Linked DNA regions of Stegostoma tigrinum. The protein of the gene in region 1 interacts with the protein of each later gene in a pairwise test. Links are inferred from orthologs where the notes say so. Each region holds a gene or a part of one and is shown in the gene's direction. Other genes may lie near its edges.

Region 1 (8,093 bases):
AAAATAGTGTTGACAATTATCAGATCAGCTCTGATCTCATTGAATGGTGGAGCAGACTTGATTTTTTAAATGACCTTCTTGTGCTCCTACAATTTGCGGTCTGTCACTGTGTGTCAGTAGTGGAGGACATTGAGTCATAGAGTCATACAGTACGTAAGCAGACCCTTTGGTCCAATCACTCCATGCAGAACATAATCCCAAACTAATTTAGTCCCATCTACCTGCTCTTGGCCCATATCCCTCCAAACTTTTCCTATGTATCTATCCAAATCCAAATATCTTTTGGTGATTGTACCCACATCCACCACTTCCTCATGAAATTCATCCCAAATGCAAAACACCCTCTGTGTAAAAAAAATCCTTGTATGTCTTTTATAAATCTCCTTCCTCTCACCCTAAAAATGTGTCCCCAGTCTTGAAATTCCCTGTCTCAGGGAAGAGACAACTACCATCAACTTTATCTATATCTCTCATTATTTTATAAACTTCTATCAGGTCATCTCTCAACCTCCTAGGCTCCAGTGAAAAAAGTCCCAGCCTATCCAGCCTTTCTTTATAACTCAAATCTTCCATACCTGACAACATTCTGGGAAATCTCCTCTAAACCCTCTCCAGCTTGATAATATCCTTCCTATAATTGGGAGACCAGAACTTGACACAGTATTCCAGAAGAGGCCTCACCAATGCCCTGCACAACCACAACATAACATACCAACTCCTATACTCAAACAACTGAGCAATGAAGGCAAGCATGCCAAATGCCTTCTTAACCATCCTATCTATATGCGACACAAACTTTAAAGAATTATGTACCTGTACCCCTAGGTCTCTCTGTTCTACGACACTACCCAAGGCCCTATCATTAATTATACAAGCCCAACCCTTGTTTGTTGCACCAAATTACAATAACTCACACTTGTCCAGATTGAACTACAACTGCTGTTTTTCAGCCCATTCACCCATTTGATCAAGATCCCTTCACAATCTTACAAAACCTTCTTCACTGTCTACAATGCCAACAATTTTGGTGTCATCCGCAAATGTACTGACCATGCCTTCTAAATTCTCATCCAAATCATTTACATAAATGACAAACAAATGACGACCCAGGGCCAATCCCTGTAGAACACCATTGGTCACAGACCACCAGTCTGAAGAGCAACCCTCCACTATTACTCTCTCTCTCCTGCCATTAAATCAATTACCTATCCAATTGGCAAGTTCACCCTGAATCCCATGTGACCAAACTTTACTAATTGGTCCACCATGCAAAACTTTGTCAAATGTTCTACTAAAATCCAAACAAACAATGTCTACTGCTCTGCCATCATCAATATTTTTGGTAACTCCCCAAATAACACAATCAAAGTTTGTGAGACACAATTTTCCTCACACAAAACATTTTGAATATCCCTAGTCATGCAGGTCATGCAGCACAGAAACAGGCACTTCAGTCCAATTCATCTATGCCAAGCAATTTTCCCAAACTAAACTTGGCAGATAGAATTTATGTGACAAACTGTAATGTGAGAAAATGTAATATTATGCATTTTGGCAGGATGAATAGAGGAGCTAAATATTATTATTGTGGGGAAAGACTGCACAAAGCTGCTGCACAAAGGGATTTGAGGGTGTCCTCTTATATAAATCAGAAAAAGCAAGCATCCCACTTGCCAGCATTTGGCCCATATCTCTCTCAACATTTCCTATTCATGTAGCTGTCTAAATATCTTTTAACTGTTGTCACTGTACCTGCATCTACCACTTCTTCTGGCAGTTCATTCCACATACTAACGGCCCTCTGTGTGAAAAGGTTGCCCCTCAGGTCCCTTTTAAATCTTTAAATCCCTTTTAAATCAGTTCTGAGGAGGGGTCAGTGGACCTGAAACATTAACTTTGCTTTCTCCTTCATGGGTGTTGCCAGACCTGCTGAGCTTTTCCAGGAACCTTGTTTTCGTTGCTGATTTATAGCATCTGCAGTTCTTTCCATTTTTATTCCCTTTTAAATCTTTCTCCTCTTACTTTAAAAATATGTACCCTAGTTTTGAACTTCCCCATCCTAGGGAAAAGACCTTTACTATTCACCTTATCTATGCCCCTCTTCATTTTATAAACATCTATATGGTCATCCCTCAAGCTCCTATGCTCCAGGGAAAGAAGTCCCAGCCTAACCATATAACTCAAACCCTCCTAACGACATTCTTGTAAATCTTTTCTGAACAGTCTCCAATTTAATAATATCCTTCTTATATCAGATCAGAACTGTGCACAGTTGTTGAAAAGTGGCCTACATAACGTTCTGTAGAACCTCAACATGACATCCGAACTCCTACACTCAATGGTCTGAGCAATGAAGTCAAGCGTACTAAATGCCTTCTTAACTACCCTGTTTACCTGTGACACTGCTTTCAAAGAACTATGTACCTGAATCTTTAGGTGTCTCTGTTTGACAGTGCTACCCAGGGCCCTACCATTAACTGTATAAGTGCTGCTCTTGATAGAGGGAATTGAATCAAGCAAGCTGCTTTGTCCTGAATGGTGTTAAGCTTCCCGTTGTTGGAGCTGGTTTCACTCAGGATGCTTAATTAGCTCACATAGTAAGTGACAAGGGAAATGGTAGCAGGTGGAAGTAGGCACTGGGCTGGCGTATGAATTTTATAGACATTGGGATGCATGGGGACATTTGGTTTCATGAGTTGGTAACGGTGAGGTTTGGAAAATGTGTGGGGATGAGCATGAGAGCAAGTGCAAAGCGTAGAAGTCAGAGAGATTAATATTTTTTTCCCTTTTGGAGAGGTAAGGTGCCCTTTGGGATAGAAAATGATATGCTTATGAATTAAAAAGTGCATTAACACATTAGGTTTGCAAAACTTTCAAGAAAATATCCAAACAATGTAAAATTATGAAAATGTATCCACTATTTCAAAATGCATCCCACATAAAGCCATTTTAAATTTATGCTGCTTACTGATTGCCTAAAGTATCATCGACACAATGTGGTGCCTTTTGTTGGGCAGCTCCAACTATTTATTTGATTGAAATGTTTGTTGACGTAAAGGATTAAATGCCTAAATCAGAGTTTTTAAAAATGTTTATTTACGTTGGTTATTAAATTCTCAAGCAACACGCTTATTTACACAAGTCATTGAAACACAAGTGAAGTATTTGTTAACATATATAATTTAGTTAAACAGTGTATTGGATTTTTTTAATCAATAGAAGTGGTTTTGGTTTCAACAGTGACATCATCCATATACAAGTAATTTTATTTTCCCTCCTGATGAATGACCATGCTGCATAACAGGTGAGTTGACATGAGAGGTGGGTGTAAAATAATTGGTATAAAAGGTATAAGGACCACAACAGCTGTTGGAGTAAAAGACATATATGGAGGCATGGAATTAGGTAGATGGGCTCATTTGGCATAGAGGGTAAGTGGGACATCAGTGATGGGTAATTGGACATAAATTGGCAAGGGGCTATGGTGGGGTCATACACAAGCAAACAGGGGCATGGGGAATGAGGGCTGTTTTTGTTTTAAAGTTTATTCTTAAACTTTAGACATAGTGCCAGAATCACTAGGCAGGCTTTCTGCCCAGAATGCCTCAGGAACCAGGCAGCTTCCTGAACTCCTCTGGGTCACCTGACCCACCTCTCAATCCAGCCCAGCCTGCTAGAACAAAAATTGAAAGTGCAGATGGCCATTTTTAAAGGACAGGCTCATGGAACTGGCATTTCTCCTAACTCTGCATACCTGACCTGGGAATGAAAATCAGGACCCAAGCACTTAATCATCTGTTCTCAGTCTCCTAATGTGACTGAATATCTATTTCTGCTTTGTAGTGCTCCTCTGAAGCACGTCTGTTGTTTTAGTTCATGAAGTTGCTAGATAAATGCAAGTTGATGCATTATTGATGAACTCACTGACAATAAAATTCTCTGACCTTTTGCTGTGGCACTGGTGATTTTATCTGGATTCTGCTCAAATGGAATCAATGTTTTTAAACACTTGTTGGCCTCGAGCGTGATGTTCATGGCCAGTCAGAGAAACAAATAGAGCCGTGATAATCTTCCCGTCTTGCAGCGAGGAGCGTTGGGTTCAGACCCGAGTCCAATCAGAATGACAACTGGAAACTGAAGCACCAGCTCTGAAACCTGGTAGATTTCCTTACAGGAGTCCTTGCCTCTGATACGTGTGGGTGAACCCCTGCTTTAATTCAAGCCCACTTTTTAGAAAGTACTCAAGCATTAAAGCCATGAAACAACCAATAGTTAATCACTTTAACTGCTATTCCCTCTTAAGCGGTTCAAGAGTCTCTTTAAGTTGAGTTAGGCCAGGACCTATGTAAGAACATAAAGGATGAACTGCCTGAAGTAAGTCGTCTAGTGTCAGCCTTGCAAGTGACACTCAGTCTCTGAACTGATGAAAAATGGATTGAGGGTGATAAAAGCTTCATTTATTGAAGAAAATTTTTAAAAACCTTTACTTATACTTCATTGTGAGAAAACATCTGACTGATTATTAAGAAAATACACCTTAGAGTGAACAATTGAACCTCAGTTTGTACTTCCTAACTAAATTTTCAGTGATTTCAGCCAAAATTCCAGCATTATCTGCCAAAATTACTTCACTGTTCAGCAATACCAGTTATTGCAACTGAATGAGTGTTGTTTTCATTTCCCCCTTTCTATTTGTACCTTAAAAGAGGTACGAATATTTGCAAATAAAACGTCACAAAACAGGGGGAAATGAAAGGAAACAGAGCACTTTGAATAAAATGTAGTTCACTCAGTTGGCCAAAACGAAAATCAGTCTTTGCAGTCAATAGTAACTTAGATCAACACAGACGCGCACGGACAAATATGAGTCAGAGGGATCGTTGCCTCCAAATAACTAAGCCTACAAATGCAAGTTCCTTTCTTCGGAAATACATTACATCCTGAGGATGAACAGCGTCCAGGTTTTGAATTAGTGCACGCATTTTAATTACAATGTACTTAATAGGCTGATCAAGTTGGATGTCAAAATGAGACAGCAATAATATGCAAATAAGAAATAAACGCGATTGAACGGCAGACGTTTACAAGAAAGCCCACAGAAGGTGGGTGAGTGCCTCAGTGTCTAGTTTTTTTTCCTCTCTTGCTCTGCAGTTCCTTGCGAGCAGCTGTCCCGCGCGCGTGCGCACTGGCGACCTGGAAATTTGCTACTCGTGACAGAATTTGGGTAAGAAACGGTGTAATTTTTAATTTTAAAAAGAAAATAAACCAGGAGCAAAAGCTGTCAGACAACGAATGGTGTATTTAGGTGGCCCCTCCCGCCGTCTGGGAATTTAACTTCCTCCCTCCTCCCCTCAATCTCCTTTTTTTTAAACCCCTCTCCACTCCCTGGCGTTTATCCTAATTGCATTTGGTGCAACTTAAATAAAAGTAGTTGCAGAGAAGCGAGTGGCCGGGGACTGTATGAGTGTGTGTCTGCAGAGCAGCACAAGTCCCCTTTAGCAATTAGAAATAAATTATTACAAACGGGGAGAAAAAATAGAGAAGGGGGGAGAAAAACTAATTTAAATAGAGAGTGAACCAGTGTTTGAGCAGTGCCGGTGAATGATGAGTATTGATAGTTGGCGATTATAATAATTATTTCAAACACTGAACTCTCCTGTGACACAGACCATTTTATGGAACCCGGGCAAAGTGCGAGGCTTCCATTGGAATGGGAGCGAGCCGCCGCTCGATACAATGTTTCCGCGCCGCGCTCTCATTACCCCCCTTTTTTTGTTTTCTTACTAAAAGAGAAAGGGATGCAATAAATTCACGTTTTAAAATGCAACGTGTCTCCTTTTTAGGCCTTTACAGGAATATAGACTCCGCCATTTTGAGAAACTGCCCAAATAAAATACAAGAAGTGTTTGAGGAAGAGAAATCTCAGGGTGGATTCTGCAAAAGAGAGAGAGAATGTGAGGGGGGTTTGGAAAGAAAGAGGGGGGAAAATAGATATGGATAGAGCCCAGGCTTGGGGAGAAACTACCGAGTTTATTTCAGGAAGTGCACGCAATTGTGATGCACATTTAAATTATTAAATCCTCCAGTAGGTTAAGTTTTTTTTCTAATTGTTAATCGAGCACCTAGGCTGATTGACAGTGTAAGGATTAGCTACACAATTTATAATCTAAAACTCACTTGATATCCACGAATTTAAATTTCTGTCAAATGAACCTCGGACTTGATAAGAGGAAAGTCTGACGACGTTATATATAAAATTTCAGTTTCATTTATTTATCTCCAGGGTTGTTTCAAGTAACGTTAATTCATATTCATTTTATCGGTAAATTGGGTGCGAATGTTGTTAATAACGACAGTAAATATGTAACTGAAATGCATTTTCTTTTGTGTTCATTATTTCAAACTACTGTGCATAGTTGAGTGCATTCTGGAAACTTTCAAGTACAAAACATCTTTTTTTAAAAGATAATGCAGAGCGACCTCAAATGGTTTTTGTCTAGAGGTGCAGGGAAGGATAGTATATTTGGCTGTCAGGACGAGGTGATTGTGTTTGAAGGTAAACGTGGGAAGTTAATTGTTCACATTTAAAGGCACTGTTTGCCCGCGTTTTGTTTTTATCCTTCAATTAGAGTAATTTTATTTATTGCTGAAACAGTCAGAAAGCATCTTTTAATCGGGACAGCCCAGTCCGCTGTGCATTCTTTCGAGTTAAGTGTTCTGATTGATACAAGCATGAGCTAAGTGCATTTGCCACTGATTCACATGCCGCCTGGGAAACTGTTCTAGGCTGTCTTTCAGGATTGGAGAAATACTGTTGGAATATTTACTTGCTGTTGATTGACTGACTTAGTTAAAATGATTTATTTAATACGAAGTAAGTTTCAAACTATATTCTTCCACCAAAACTATCACACTTCATGAACATTGGAGGAATTTGAACAAAAAACACAGTCCTTTTTCTGATTATCTGCTGGTGTTCTTCATCGTATGATCAGTGAGGAATGAGTCCACTAGTTTTTTTTAATTGTTTTGTCTTGGTACTACAATTAAGTCAGATCACATTGAAAATACACATGTTCTGCTGGAGTTGAAGTCCATCTTATTGCTTATTTTTGTCTCATGATATTCCAAAATACAGATTTTTTTATGATAACTGTGACTAACAAGGAAATGAGTGAGCATTACTGTCTTACATCAGATGAAATTGACAGTTAGTTACAACTATAAGGTATTCACTCATCCAAATTTGTTGCATTATCCAGCATTTATTCATTGCCTATCTGCTCTATATGTGGCTTAGCAAACCATTTGCTAGAGTGAACAATTGATCAACTGACGTTCTCCTTTGTTTTCGATTTAGCTTTGGCTTTGTCCCAGATGCTGCGCTGAGTTTGATGAGTTACTTAAGTGAATAATAGTTTATGGAGAAAGGAAGTTGCTATCAGCAAATTGGTTTCTCAGAGGAATATTGGTTTGCTTATTTATGCACAAGGTTCTTCTATCAAACTTGGGCCTTTCAGTGGCTCAATGTACTGGTTTCTCTTTCAAAATCTTTGAGAAGACAATTTGTTTTTCAGTCTTACTTTTTGAAGCAGCTGACTGCCTGTTTTGAGTACACTTTTATGGATACTTATCACTCTTTGCTATTACCTGTACCCATTCTTTGTTCATATTTTACATTGAGAAAGCTGGCAAGCTTTTTGGCTGCATGGAGAATCACAGCAACTCACACTGCCGTCACTTCACAATCATTACTTGAGGGTATTGACAAACAATTTCAGCTGACATCAATTGTCTGATTGGAATTTGTCATGTCATACTTGACTGAAGGATCAGACAACCATAAGTGTAAGGAACAGGAACAGGAGTTCAGCCCCTTAAACCTGCTTTACCATTCAATAGAATTGTGGTTGATCTGAAATTCCTTACGTCCACTTTCCTGTCCTTTCTCCATAAACCTGATTCCCCTACTGAACGACAATCTGTCTATTTCAGATACAAGGACTCTGTCCCTGCACATCTGTGGCAAACAGGTTTTGAATCAGATTTAAAAAGAGACAAAATAATGATGTTATTTTGCTTTAAATTCGCGT
Region 2 (7,276 bases), on another chromosome or scaffold:
CTACAAATGAATGACTACACTTGGTGCTCCAAATCACTGTTCCATTACTGCCAGATAATTGAACTTTCTGTTTTGTAAATCCCCATTTTTTTCCCTTCCTTTCTGAAAGCAGTTTCCTGGTTGCAGGATGGTTCCATCATTACTAAGCGTGCATTTCTTCATCCATGAATCTAAATATTCACAGCCATTATTGCAAATGTGTCTAAAACTGAGACGGTTGTTAACTTCTTATCAATGGATGGCAATGTAGAAATCACTAACTCTAAAACTAGAGAGACTGGCTCAATTTCATTATGCCTCTTTCACCTGTGGGCTATGAACCAACGCTCCATAACCACCTGGAGTTAAATGACCTCAACTCGCATCTGTTGAAGATTGAACCTTGGAGTTCAATGATCTTCATTTTGTTCGACAGTGGGACTCTCCCTCTGGCCAAGCAAAATGAAGATCATAAATAGAAAGAAAAAAGCTCACAGTGTTAACAAATTGAGTTACTTTGGAACTAAGGGGGCTATTCTCATTATTGAAGGGTAATTAAATATATTTATTTGTCTTGTTTCAGTTTGCAGTTTAACAAGATCGGAGATGAAGGTGCAATGTATATGGCACAAGCAATGAAAAAAAATTGCAGCTTGGTTGAGTTAAGGTAATTGTTTAAATGTAAACTCACACCAGAACATTTTCTCCAATCCCAAACTCTCCCAGGTGTACTTATTTCCATTTGAGCTTTGAAGTTTGATTTCACAGACAGCTTATATTACCTGGTGGCTTGGCACTTGCCAGTCTGCTCATGTGCTGAATCTGGCTGATGTTTGCCCTGATCTTCAATTACATTGGGCAGAGAACATAGAACACTGCAGCGCAGTACAGACCTTTTGGCTCTCGATGTTGCGCCAACCTGTGAAACCAAACTGAAGCCCATGTAACATACACTATTCCATTATCATCCATATGTTTATCCAATGACCATTTAAATGCCCTTAAACTTGGAGAGTCTACTACTGTTGCAGGCAGGACATTCCATGCCCTTACTACTTTCTGAGTAAATAACCTGCCTCTGACATCTTTGCTATATCTATCACCCCTCAATTTAAAGCTATGTCCCCTCACGCTAGCCACGTCCGTCTGAGGAAAAAGGCTCTCACTGTCCATCGTATCTAATCCTAAAAGCAATGGGAGTCTTGCCCATGAGCTGGAAATCTATGGGAGCCCCGTGTCACCTCTCTTGTTAAATATTGATCAGACACTGTATTGGGCAGTGAGGGCCTTTCCCAGAATCAATGATCCGAAGGGAAGAAGTACCACCCAAGAAGAGCTGCTTACCCACCAGAAGCCAGCAGCACTTAATTGTTAAAAATGGCACTGGGGGACCAGAGGCTGTTGCTTAGGCACCCACCTGAAGCCTAGGATCAGCTAAGCACAGGCCAAGGGAGTCATGGGCTGGATGGGAGGAGGGTTGGCAACTTAAATGGAACCCTGAGTCCTGATGCTGGGTTGCTTGAGCGAACACACACACACACACACACACACACACAAACACACACACAAACACACACACACACACACACACACACACACACACACACACACACACACACACACACACACCACTCCGCCCCACTCTGCGCAATGAGACTGGGTGAATACCAATCGTGGTGCTATGAGAGGCTTAAGTAGTATTCATTTCCTAATTCAAAGCGCCAGTTAGTGGTGGGTCAGCAAATTTCTCCATGTGCTTTTCCACTGTAGAATTAACTGGGCTGGAGGCAAATCATTGTTTATTTTTAAGAGAATAGCTCCTTTAAAAGTGCTCTGCTATTTCCTTTTTCTTGTATGTCATCTATGATTTGTACCTTTTTATATTTAAGGATTTCAATTTATATGTTACTGTACTTTCTGGGTGGCTGATTAATGGAATGGATAATATTTGTTTGTAGACTCGGAGACAATGATATCACTGAAAAAGGGAGTGATTATTTTAGAAGTGCTTTAGAAGTCAATGACACACTTGAAGAATTATGGTAAGAATTTTGTTTTATTGTTCATGAATTAAAATTGTTGTTTATTTAGAATTTTTTTTAGTTGATCACCACCATAGAAGAATGAAATTTTCTTCGAAGCTTGCATTTTAAAGCTGCTTAACCAGACTTGATGATGAATCAATGGTGGATAGTATTGAAACCAGTATAAATGAAAATGCAAAAGAAATACTGATAGTTTAGGCTAATAGGCAAAATTGTAGCTAATCGATTTCAGCATAGTCAAATATAAAAGGATGAAACAGAGCACTTTCCGACCTGTGAAAAGCTAAAGACTTTGGTCATCTGAAGAGACCTGGTGAAATGGGGTCCATGCACACAGAATATTAAGACTATTATGACTAAAAGGGTTAAATGAATGCTGGTCCTTATATCTGCTGGGACAGGATGCAAGTGGGTATAAGACAGCTATACAAATCCTGGCTAGGCTACACCTGCAGCACTGTGAACAGTTCTGAGCCGCACACGCTTGGGATATAAAGTATTGGCCTTGGAGATAATGCAGTGTAGCTTTACGGGAATAATTCCTTGACTCCAAAAGTAAAATTCTGATGAGATTACATAAACTGGTGTTGTATTCCCTGGAATTTGGAATATTTAAGGGTGATTTGGTTGAAGTTTTCAAGATATTAAGAACAGATAAGATCGATTGGGAGAGACTGTCTAGTTATGTTGTATTCATCGAGAACCATTGTAAAAGAAAACCAGGTAAACATTTTTTTAAGAATGGAAGTAGGAAACACTTCTTCATGCAAAGAGTGGTAGATGTTTCAAACTCTCTTTCACAAAAAGTAATTGACACTGGATTAGTTGTTAATTTCAAAACTGAGTGATCAATTTTCATTAGCCAAAGACATCAAAGAATATGGAATACAGTTAGGTCACAGATCAGTGAGAAGTTCTGTGAATGATGGTATTGCTGCAGTGGACTAAATGTTTTACTTTTTCTGCTTTTCGGCGTGTCTATGCTGTGATCCCACTGGAAAAGGAGGCAGAAATAACAGCCTGATTTTAAAATTTGACGTTTGTTTTAGTAACAATGAAATTCACATCATTATAGGAAGAAATTAAAGTTTCTTATTTAAAATGCTACTGAATTTAAAGAGAAGTGTAAGATGCTAATAGGCATGTTTATTTTGTTTAAACTGGCAAATAACTTAATATTTACAATCAGTTCTATTTAAAAATAAATAAAAGTTAATTTCAGTCACCACTGTGTCAAAGAAAATCAGACTACAGTAACCCAGTGTTCAACATAACTGCTCATGTTGGATATTGCAGTGATTGTAATGAAGTCAGCCAGGCAGTTATCATCAAATATGAGTTCCCTGGTTGATCCTGTTAATCCGGTACAATCAGGGAGCCCTGGTTTACAAATCCCTGTAAGAGCTGGCTCTGAGGGAGCTGGATCAGTGTCAAAGACTCTCCATGTGTAAGTAAAGGGTAACTTGGAGACAGGACACCAGCCTCTATGGTTAGTTCAGGTTTCAACAAGAGGACACATTTATCCTTTAATTTCAGAATCATCTCAAAACATGCAGTATTTAATCATTAAACTGACATATTTACATAATTTCCCATGACTACTTTTTGCAGTGAGTCAGAAGAAATTATGTATCACTTAGTGTTTGTTGTAACAATTTGAAAGATGTTATAGTTGTCACCTGGAATGGGAGTAGTTAAACAAATGCATGTTCTGGGCACATTTAAAGCACAGTTTTCTCTGGCTGCACTTAAGCCAGAAAGGAAATTCAGTGTGCATCATTTTATACATGAGATTTCCACCTTGACTTTCCTTTCTGTATTGCATCCAAACAAGTACAAGTGTAAAATAAAAAAAAGAGGCACGTCATTCCTCCCTGTGGATGAAGAAAGAACTGCAGGATAAAACAGCTTTTACAAAACGGTCAGAAATAGTAAAAACTGCTGATGCTGCAGTCAAAGATAACACAATGTGCAGCTGGAGGAATACAGCAGGCCAGGTAGCCCATTTCTGAAGAGGGGTCTGGGTCCAAAATGTCAACTTGCCTACTCCTTTTTTACAAAATGGTCTTTCATTCCAATGTCCTGGTGTTTGACTCTTTTATTCACTGAAGAACTGAAGCTTTTTGAGCCTTACCCTTAGAATCCTTTGATGTCTTTCTCGTTTAGGATTCTGGTGAATAGCATATCAAATGATGAAAAGGAAAGACTGAAAAGTGCCAATTGCAAAAACCCAAATATTCGACTGAATTAATTTCAGAAAATTAAGCACATGGGTATGTATCTTGTACAAGTGTACAGCTAAAGATGGAAGTTCCTTCTATTTGTTTATGTTATGAGTACAAAATGTTTGGTGAGCATATCAGCCGTGAAAAATTTAATTCTTCTATTTGTGTTCTTGTCAGGATTGTAAAAGCAACATGAAGGGGAATTTTATTAGATCTTTAGACATAGGATTGGATGCAAAGGATTGACACTTGGCAGGTCAATTTCAGTGCCTCTCACCCTTTCTAGGGGCACCTTGAGTGTGCTGATGGTAACCTAGCAAGTAGTAGAGGGAGCCAATTGACGCCATTAAGTAATTAGCAAAGATTTTCCAAGGGCAATGGAATCTTTCAGTCGCACATGGAATCCTGCCTTGTGCTTGCCAGTTGTTCACAGGGACTGCTGGCTACCATTCCAGTCTTATGATTAAATTCACCTTCCCCCCTGCCACCCTGACAACAATCCCGGGGCACCCTCTTAATTGAATATCTCTAGAAAGATATTCTAGATATCGCCAGCAGTCCCTGCTGGTAAGAAACATAAGTTTGGTTGTTATTGTATAGATTCCAGACCGGTGTACTTTAAGACATTATGTGACATTATAACATGTGACATTCCAAAATAAATGTATCCACTTCACCTCTAACATAGTGCAATGAAGTCAATGTACTGTGTTCAGTCAGTCAGCTATGTGTATGTAAGATATATAACATAATTAAGCACAAAACCCAGATTGTGTTTAAGTGTGTGATATGCTAACAATTTAAATAGTTAATGTCCTTGATAAACTTCAAGATACCTATCTTATCTAGACTCTCTCTTTTTAAAATAGGACGATCACAAATGGTCCAATTTTTAACAATGGGTCTTCATAGCTGCAGTACTAAAATAATATTCAGCAAAATACAAACAAACAGGGAAAAGCAACAGTTTTCTACGCTAATAAGGTCATACCTGTGCCCAGACATCAGTTGATTCCACCATTTTGCTTTTGGGATACAAAGCAAAAACTAAAATAGGACTGCATGATGTCACAGCTCTCTCTTTTTGGAAATGCCATCTAAAGGCACAAGCCTGCTGTTTGGAAAGCAACAACGAGAAAAAAAGAAACCAATGACAGACAAAAAATGCCCTATATTGCAATTTGAATTCTTATACCGTCAGTTTTAAAGAACATCGTAAAGATGGATTATCACTCCATTGCCAATTTATTAGAATTTCGGTTATTTGAAGAAAGAATCAATCTTTACTTTCTGGACTAACAAATAATTGATAAAGAATAATAGACAGTCAAACTTTTTATTGCTTTCTGTAGCGCACAAATATCCCCTAAATACTGAATTCAGAGCCATTTTGTGCTCTGAGGCCATCTCCAGTTGTGGATTGAGACTATTGGATGCAAACTGGATAGATTTGAGTCTGTTTCTTGCGTGACAATAACCTAATTTCCTATGCTTAGAGATCCTTGGAAGAGCGCAGTGACTTCCAAGTGTCATAGGCGCCCTCTGTAACCAGGCAAATGCCTTGAATGCTTAAAATTAAGGTCCCAGTGCTAGTTTTGAACCCTGATGCAAAATGGTTGTCAGCAACACACTGTCTGCATAATCAACTGTTCTGGATCTTTAATGTCTAATTTAGGGCTGCTCAATGGATTAGGAACTATCCACAAAAACAGGGGAAGATTATTTTCTTTCTGGATTGAAACTAGGTGAAGCAGCAATTGTCCTGTTCCCAGAGAAATTCTCTATGTTGGTGCTGCTTCAGATTCAGTACTTCTTTCTCTGCCTTGTCTCAACAAATCAGCTCCCCAACTGCTAGGGCCAGCCTAATTAAAATTTTGAACTCTCCAACCCATAAGCTGCATGAGCTACCCAACTACTGTCTGCAGCTTGTTGCTGATGCCCCAGGGACAATTTTGATCAATTCTCATTTCTTCATCTATTTCAAATAAAAACTGACATTGAGCAATTTAGCCTTATAGCCAGCAGAGATAGAAGTCTTGTTCAGATTGTGTTTCAGCTTAGCCAAAAATGGCATGAACTGCGAAATATTGCATGCATACTTGTACAATATATTTCAAGGTATATCAAAGGTGTGCAAACATTTGAGGCAAAAATACAATTCAATTACTAGATGTGACTCTTGTGTTTTTGCAAATAAGACTTGGAGTGTAAAAGAAAGATCATTCTCTGACACTGATTCTGGACAGAGCCTATGATTAGCTGGGTAGCCTAAAAGGTATATATAGTCACACACTGATGCAGCCTGGCTGTGCTATATGAATGCATGCCAGAAGCTTTGTGTGTAGACTCTGTTCAGGTCACTGTGGTGGGTCAACAAAACACATGTTATTCTATTCTGTATTGATAGGCAATGTTCATTGTTGTAAAGTAAAAATAATTGTTCTAAAATACAAACAGAAAGTACCGGAAACTCTCTGTTGGCCTGGCAACATCAGTGAATGCAGCAACAGAATTAACATTTTGGGTCCGATCTAACACGTCACAGGAAAAGTGCACTCAGACTCAAAAAGTTACCCCTGTTTCTCACTCCATACTTGCTGCCAATCCAGCTTAGTGTCTGCAGTGCTTTGTGTTTTTGTTTCAAATTTCCATCATTCTCAATATCTTGCTTTTGTTTTAGTGATATTTGTTCCCTCCATTGCTGAAACTTTTAATTTCTTGCCTTAAATCATGCTTAGGAGCTATGTGGCAAAAGAAAAGTATATTTCATTAGGACACCAAATTCAGCATTTTTCTGGAATGAACAGGGCTAATAATGAACTCTGCTCAGCTGTTCCAGGATCAGCAATGTTATACAATGTGATATATTCCTGACTGTCTCCAGTGGAAAATAGATGGATACCAGAAATCAACATCGACAAGCTGAAGAACTTTGATGACACTGAGCACTTTCCATGATGTGACTCTTGTTTAAGAAAGTGCAACTACTGTTGAAAATGAACTGTCTAAATCACAGGCTTATAAAAG
Region 3 (7,743 bases), on another chromosome or scaffold:
GATGAATGCATACAGTCTTTTTTCCGCAGGGACGGGGAATCGGAAACTAGAAGGGCATAAGTTTAAAGTGAGAGGGGAAAGATTTTAAGGGGTATCTGATGGGCAACTTCTCCAGACAGAGAGTGGTGAGTATATGGATTGTGCTGCCAGGGAAAGCAGTTGAGGCAGGTACAATAGCAACATTTAGAAAACATTTGGATAGTACATGGATAGGAAGGGTTTAGAGGGATATGGACCAAATGTGGCCAATTGGAACTAGCTGAATGGGCACCATGGTCAGCATGGACCAGTTTGGGTTGAAGGGCCTCTTTCTATGATTCTATGACTGAGTCCCTTTGTGCTTCAGATTTCTGAAGCCTTTCCCCATTTAGAAAATGGTCTCAGCCTCTACTCTTCCTACCAAATTTCCTACCAAAGCTTTCCCACATTGTATTCCATCTGCTACTTCTTTTCTCACTCTTCTAGCCTGTCCAAGTCATTCTGCAGCCTCCCCACTTCCTCAGCATCACCTGAGTGTTCTGTCTTCCTCACTTTTTGAATAATAGAATTGCATTTGCTATCACAGGAGAGCTGGGGCCTCAGCTTCTTGCAATTTATATCAATGTTTTAGAATTTGCTGGGAGTCCATTGAGTCCATACTGTGCTTATTAAAATTATTGAATGATGCTAAATAATGATAGAAAACAAAACAGGACAAACAATGCAAACTAAGGACAGAAAAAAACAACCATCAGGGCAATTACAAGAGAACAAGGAAAAACAGCAGAAATTGACAACATTGTAAGAAATGCCTTTTTAGAATTAAAATTGTGCCCCTTATCTAAGAAAAGATGTCCTTGCATTGGAGACAGCCCAGAGAAGGTTCACGTGGCTGATGCGAGGTACAGTGTAACCGTCTTATAAAGAGAGGTTGAATAGATTGGGCCTGTACTCATTGTCATTTAGAAAAGCGAGAGACAACGTTATTGAACCATGCAAGTTTCTTACGGGCTTTACAGTGTCAATGCAGAAAGATCAGACAGTTTAGGACCAGAGGGTCTAATCTCAGAATAAAGGCTCGTACATTTAAGACAAAGATGAGGAGGAATTTCCTGTTTTGGAGGGCTGTGAAGATGTGGAATTGTTTACCACAGAGGGCTTTTGAGACAGGGTCATTAAGTATATTTAAGACTGATTTTTCATCAGCAAAGGGAATCAAGGGTTGTGAAGAAAAGGCAGGAAGGTGGAGTTGAGGATTATCAGATTAGCCATGATCTCATTGAATTGCGGAACAGACTCGATGGGCTGAATGTCCTACTATTGCTGGTCTAGGGCACTGCTGAAGCTGGTTCTGTAAAGAAAAAAAGTGATTAATTGTTTCTCTTAGGGCTATATTTAGTGACTTGGATAAGCATATGGATAATGATGGGAGAATGTAGGGGGAGGGGCTTAGATTAGTTCACAGGTCGGCGCAACATTGAGGGCCGAAGGGCCTGTTCTGCACTGTATTGTTCTATGTTCTATGACTCTTAGAAACATATTAAACAGCCCAATAAAGATGCTGTCACAATAATGTCACTGGACTTAGATTCATTTATTTGTCACATGTACTAAATACAGGAACACATAAAGTACAGCAAAAAGTGCACAAAGATACCACTCACTAGTGCTCACTTGGTTACAAAAACTTAGCATTAACTAACCAGAAGCTTCTCTGAAGTCAGAGTCAGTTGGATAATCAACACCCCATGATGGGACTGGAATTCCAACTATTGTGTTATAAAGTGCCACAGAGACTGATTGTTCCTGGGAAGAATATCATCCTCAATAAAATTAGAAGGTAGCCCTATTCTGTAGCAGACGTGTTTATGTGGAATGCAACTGTTTGTCTCAAAATAACTGGTTACACCCCTCTTCACTCTGCACCCCTCCACCAACATGCCCTCCCCCCTGGAAGCTTGATCACATGGTTCCTTCAGTTCTGAACCTTTTAATTCTGCTGTATGTATTTATTTACAGATATATTCAATGATATCGAAACACATAATTCCAGGCGACAAAGGAGAAGACTCTGCCATGTAAAAAGCAGTTAATAACGTGCTTTTTGTATAAAAGCAAAATACTACAGCATCTGGCAAACAAATTTGAAAAGCACAGAAATTGCTGGAGAAACCAAATAGGTCTGGCAGGTTCTGTGGAGAAAAAAAGACGTTAATGCTTCGGGTCAGGAATAACTCGTCAGAACCTGTATGTTGTGTGCTCTCAAAGTAATCATCCTTCTTTTGTTAAAGCAGTTAAATCAAAATTAAATTACAGCAATATTAGGCAGCATGGTGGCTCAGTGGTCAGTACTGCTGCCTCATAATGCTAGGGACCTGGGTTCAATTTCACCCACATGTGAAATTTTCACATTCTCCCTGTCCCTGTGTGGTAAGATGCTGCTTGTCCTGCTGTGTTCATCCAGCTTCACACTTTGTTATCTTGGATTCTCCAGCATCTGCAGTTCCCATTATCTCTGTTTTTTTTTCCAGGTGCTCTGGTTTCCTCCCACAGTCCAAAGGTTTGCAAGTTATGTGAACAGGCCATGGGAAATTGCCCACAGTGTCCAAGAATTGGCGTGGATTAAGCATGGGAAAGGCAGGGGATAAGACAGTTGGGATGGGTCTGGATGGGACGCTCTTCAGAGGGGTGGTGTGGACTTGATGGACTTTAATGGCTTGCTACCACACTGCAGGGATTCTATGAATATTCTTGAGTTGAGTTTATAAGGAATTTTTAAGGGGAACAAATTATCTCTGACTTCTGAACAGCTCGTCAGCCAATCGATCACCATTCATCCTCATTTCATGCTGCGACTTCTGGCCTCAACCATTTGGTTTCTATTTTCAAAATCAAAGACACTGATGAACTGGTATCACTCGGTTTGTTAGAGATAATGGGGACTGCAGATGCTGGAGATTCCAAGATAATAAAATGTGAGGCTGGATGAACACAGCAGGCCAAGCAGCATCTCAGGAGCACAAAAGCTGACGTTTCGGGCCTAGACCCTTCATCAGAGAGGGGGATGGGGGGAGGGAACTGGAATAAATAGGGAGAGAGGGGGAGGCGGACCGAAGATGGAGAGTAAAGAAGATAGGTGGAGAGAGTGTAGGTGGGGAGGTAGGGAGGGGATAGGTCAGTCCAGGGAAGACGGACAGGTCAAGGAGGTGGGATGAGGTTAGTAGGTAGCGGGGGGTGCGGCTTGGGGTGGGAGGAAGGGATGGGTGAGAGGAAGAACCGGTTAGGGAGGCAGAGACAGTTTGGACTGGTTTTGGGATGCAGTGGGTGGGGGGGAAGAGCTGGGCTGGTTGTGTGGTGCAGTGGGGGGAGGGGACGAACTGGGCTGGTTGAGGGATGCAGTAGGGGAAGGGGAGATTTTGAAACGGGTGAAGTCCACATTGATACCATATGGCTGCAGGGTTCCCAGGCGGAATATGAGTTGCTGTTCCTGCAACCTTCGGGTGGCATCATTGTGGCAGTGCAGGAGGCCCATGATGGACATGTCATCAAGAGAATGGGAGGGGGAGTGGAAATGGTTTGCGACTGGGAGGTGCAGTTGCCAAGGAGGCTTGGGGACCGCTTTGCAGAACACCTCCGCTCAGTTCGCAAAAAACAACTGCACCTCCCAGTCGCAAACCATTTCCACTCCCCCTCCCATTCTCTTGATGACATGTCCATCATGGGCCTCCTGCACTGCCACAATGATGCCACCCGAAGGTTGCAGGAACAGCAACTCATATTCCGCCTGGGAACCCTGCAGCCATATGGTATCAATGTGGACTTCACCAGTTTCAAAATCTCCCCTTCCCCCACTGCATCCCTAAACCAGCCCAGTTCGTCCCCTCCCCCCACTGCACCACACAACCAGCCCAGCTCTTCCCCCCCACCCACTGCATCCCAAAACCAGTCCAACCGGTCTCTGCCTCCCTAACCGGTTCTTCCTCTCACCCATCCCTTCCTCCCACACCAAGCCGCACCCCCAGCTACCTACTAACCTCATCCCACCTCCTTGACCTGTCCGTCTTCCCTGGACTGACCTATCCCCTCCCTACCTCCCCACCTACACTCTCTCCACCTATCTTCTTTTCTCTCCATCTTCGGTCCGCCTCCCCCTCTCTCCCTATTTATTCCAGTTCCCTCCCCCCATCCCCCTCTCTGATGAAGGGTCTAGGCCCGAAACGTCAGCTTTTGTGCTCCTGAGATGCTGCTTGGCCTGCTGTGTTCATCCAGCCTCACATTTTATCACTCGGTTTGTTTGCACTTTTTACGAACTGAACAATTGCCTTATCCTTTTCAATTTAATCCTTGTGCAGCCATGTCAGCATGTATCTGTTGTAAAGTATTGCCCACCGTACACCTGACAATGTGTGAAATAAACACTATTTCTGGTTAAATTTACACCTTAACTTTATAAAGTCCACCAAAAAAGCAGTGAGAAAACGTGTTCTCACAAAATCAGAAATCAGTCTGACACACATCCCGCCACCCAGACACTTTAATTCCAGACTCCTTTAAGAACATGGGGGTACCTGGCCCTTTAAGAACATGGGGGTACCTGGCCCTTTAAGAACATGGGGGTACCTGGCCCTTTAAATGTCTGTTGATCAAATGTTCCGCTACCTGTTTCCGGTGTTGACGTGTTTCCGCCCCGTTGCCGGGGTGATGCTGCCGTCGGCAGTATCCCGGGGCCTGAGCTGCGGCCGAAGGGTCAGGATTCGCGGCGCCTGGGCCGCGGCCCCCGCCCCCGCCCCGGCCAACGCCCACGCCCGAACGGAGAGCCGCGGCCGCCCCGGAAATGGGAACCTGAGCGCGGCGGCAGTGGGTAAGAGGGGTGGAACCGGTCGGTCACCCGGCCCTGGGCGGAGCCTGCACTGACCCCGCCTCCCCCCGACGTCCTCAGTCCCGACCTGATTCCCCTCTCTGTGGGCTCCCGTGGCCCGGGCCGCAGGGTCCATGCAGTGCTCTGACCCTCACCGTGATCCCCACCCCTCCCCGTGACCTTGCCCCACCCCTCTCCCCGTGACCTTGCCCCACCCCTCTCCCCGTGACCTTGCCCCACCCCTCTCCCCGTGACCTTGCCCCACCCCCTCTCCCCGTGACCTTGCCCCACCCCTCCCCGTGACCTTCCCCTCCCCACCCACCCTGTGACCTTCCCCTCTTTCCCCCCCCCGTGACCTTCCCCTCTTCCCCCCCCGTGACCTTCCCCTCTTCCCCCCCCCGTGACCTTCCCCTCTTCCCCCCCCCGTGACCTTCCCCTCTTCCCCCCCCCGTGACCTTCCCCTCTTTCCCCCCCGCGTGACCTTCCTCTCTTCTTCTCCCCCCCCTCCTCCACCTACCCCGTTCTCCTCTTCCCCGTGACCCCCACCCACCCGTCCCACACCCACCTGACCTTCCCCTATCACCCCCCCCGTCCCACACCCACCTGATCTTCCCCTATCACCCCCCCCCGTCCCACACCCACCCGACCTTCCCCTATCACCCCCCCCGTCCCACACCCACCTGATCTTCCCCTATCACCCCCCCCCCGTCCCACACCCACCTGATCTTCCCCTATCACCCCCCCCCGTCCCACACCCACCCGACCTTCCCCTATCACCCCCCCCGTCCCACACCCACCTGATCTTCCCCTATCACCCCCCCCCCGTCCCACACCCACCCGACCTTCCCCTATCACCCCCCCCCACGGACTATGGGGAGTCTTTCCTGAGAGGTTTGAAGTTGCTCTCTCAGTGGGGGGCAGCCTCTCGGGAGACGGGGCTGTTGTCCTGGCATCGATGGGACATGGAGCTTGTCAGGCGGTGTGCCCTGCCTCTTGGGGTAGGGCAGTGAACAGTGATCTCCAGCTGATCTCACTCCACCCAGTGTTGTGATCCTGTCCTCATGGATGTTGGTTCCCTAGTTACAGGATCAAGAGATAGGTTTTTCATGTTCTGTGGACATATGTCGCCCTCCCTCCCTGCAGTGTTCACCCCTGTTCCTCCCCCTACCCTGGTGATTGCCCCATTATAGTCAGCATGCCAATCCACTTACTTCACTCTGGACTCTCTCATAATTGTGATCACCAACCAGCCTCCTTTTCTTTCACTTTCTCTAAAGTGCTGTTTTCTGATTTCCTTCTCTCCAGCGTTTCTTGCTGCCATCCAGTTGTTCTCGCACCATGAGAAGGAGCAACAGGACCCTGAGGATGCGATCATCCTACTGATCAAAAAGTCCAAGGTTCAGAATGGTTTGCTTCTCACTCTCCCTTTATGCCAGCTCAAACATTGTCATCTCATCAGTCAGCAGTAGGTCCTCTGGCTGTCCATTCTGGCCCAAATGACGTCCACCCTTACCAGGAGGAATAAACTTGTGGTGTCAGCACGGATCAAGTATAATAAAGCTGCCAATGTAACACCTTAATTTGAAAACAGAAGCAACCAAAATGCTTGGTAACTGTAAGCCAGTTACCTTAACATCACTTGTTGGGGAAAGTGCTAGCGTCTTTTATAAAGGATGTAATAGCAGAGCATTTAGAAATATAATCAAGCAATAGTAAGATGGCTTCATCAATGGGAAACATGCCTGATAAGTTCTCTAGAATTCTTTTGAGGTAATAATGAAGAGGATTAGATAAGGGGAAAAGTGTGAATGTGATGTGTTAGGATTTTCAGAAGGTGTTTGAGAAGGTACCACACATAATGCTATTTAATAAGAGAAGGAGGCACTATATTAGCCTGGATAGAGAATTGGCTAAAACATCAGTTTGTATAACGGAGGGTATTTTCAGATGATAACCTATAACTAGTTGAGTGCCATAGGGATCAATACTGTTCTTGCAATTATTTGCAATATATCACAGAATTGTTATGGTGCAGATTGATGCCATTGGGCGCGACAGTTCCTCAAATGAACATTGTCATGTGTGACCGATCTCCTACGTCCTTGCTCCGCCACACTCTTGCATGTTATTGTATCCAAGTAATCAGTGAATGCTGCCTCGACCATGTTTCCAGGCTGCACGTTCCAGACCCTAATTGTTCACTAGGTGGAAAAGAATGAACTCTCATCACATTTGCTGCTTTTGCGAGACTTCTAATTTACGCCATCTCATTTTCCTTCCTTTTGCAAGTGGAAGGAACTTCTCACTATCCACTTCTATCTACCCTTTTCATGATTTGTACTGTAGTCCAATTTGTGGACAGCACAAAGATAGGTGGAAAGGCTCGTAGTGAGGGTGACACAAAGACTTTGCAGAGGCATATAGGCAGGTTAAGCAAGTGGGCAAAAACTTTAAATGGAATATTATGTGGTGGACATGTGAGGAAGAATAGAGGAGGCAAATATTATTTAAATAGAGAAAGCCTGCAGAAAGCTACAGCATAGAGTTTGTGATTTCTCATGCACGGATCTCAAATTGCCAGTATCCAAGTTCAGCAGGTAATAGGGAAGACAAATGCAATCTTCGCTTTCCTTTTACAAAGGGAATGAGTCATTTTGCTAAAACTATACAAGGCCTATACAAGTCAGACTGTAGTTGAATACTTGAAGCAGTTCTGAGCCCCTTATCCAATAAAAGGCACACTGGCATTGGAGACAGTTTAGAGAAGGTTCAGTAGTTTGATCCTGGATAAGGAGGGATACTCTTGTGAGATAGTTTGAGTAGGTTGAGCCTGTACTCTGAAGTTTAGAAGAATAAGCAGGGACCTACTGGAACATGCAAGGTTCATGGGTTAATGCAGAGGTTGT

The links.
Region 2: the proteins of l3mbtl3 (region 1) and plekhf1 interact in binary tests that used the Homo sapiens proteins (3 or more experiments, as listed by UniProt). The two-hybrid records come from large-scale screens. The link is inferred for Stegostoma tigrinum from reciprocal best matches to the Homo sapiens genes L3MBTL3 and PLEKHF1.
Region 3: the proteins of l3mbtl3 (region 1) and ttc19 interact in binary tests that used the Homo sapiens proteins (3 or more experiments, as listed by UniProt). The two-hybrid records come from large-scale screens. The link is inferred for Stegostoma tigrinum from reciprocal best matches to the Homo sapiens genes L3MBTL3 and TTC19.

Annotation. Positions count from the first base shown.
Region 1 is NC_081357.1:70,028,763-70,036,855, forward strand, and holds the start of l3mbtl3 (lethal(3)malignant brain tumor-like protein 3), read left to right. Parts: upstream 1-5,014; 5' UTR 5,015-5,224; intron 5,225-8,093. UniProt on the Homo sapiens protein: Is a negative regulator of Notch target genes expression, required for RBPJ-mediated transcriptional repression. It recruits KDM1A to Notch-responsive elements and promotes KDM1A-mediated H3K4me demethylation.
Region 2 is NC_081369.1:32,514,723-32,521,998, forward strand, and holds the start of plekhf1 (pleckstrin homology domain-containing family F member 1), read left to right. Parts: upstream 1-4,201; 5' UTR 4,202-4,293; coding exon 4,294-4,297; intron 4,298-7,276. UniProt on the Homo sapiens protein: May induce apoptosis through the lysosomal-mitochondrial pathway. Translocates to the lysosome initiating the permeabilization of lysosomal membrane (LMP) and resulting in the release of CTSD and CTSL to the cytoplasm.
Region 3 is NC_081358.1:127,544,217-127,551,959, reverse strand, and holds the start of ttc19 (tetratricopeptide repeat protein 19, mitochondrial), read left to right. Parts: upstream 1-4,646; 5' UTR 4,647-4,680; coding exon 4,681-4,840; intron 4,841-5,667; exon of another isoform or gene 5,668-5,792; coding exon of another isoform or gene 5,793-5,835; intron 5,836-6,142; coding exon 6,143-6,234; intron 6,235-7,743. UniProt on the Homo sapiens protein: Required for the preservation of the structural and functional integrity of mitochondrial respiratory complex III by allowing the physiological turnover of the Rieske protein UQCRFS1.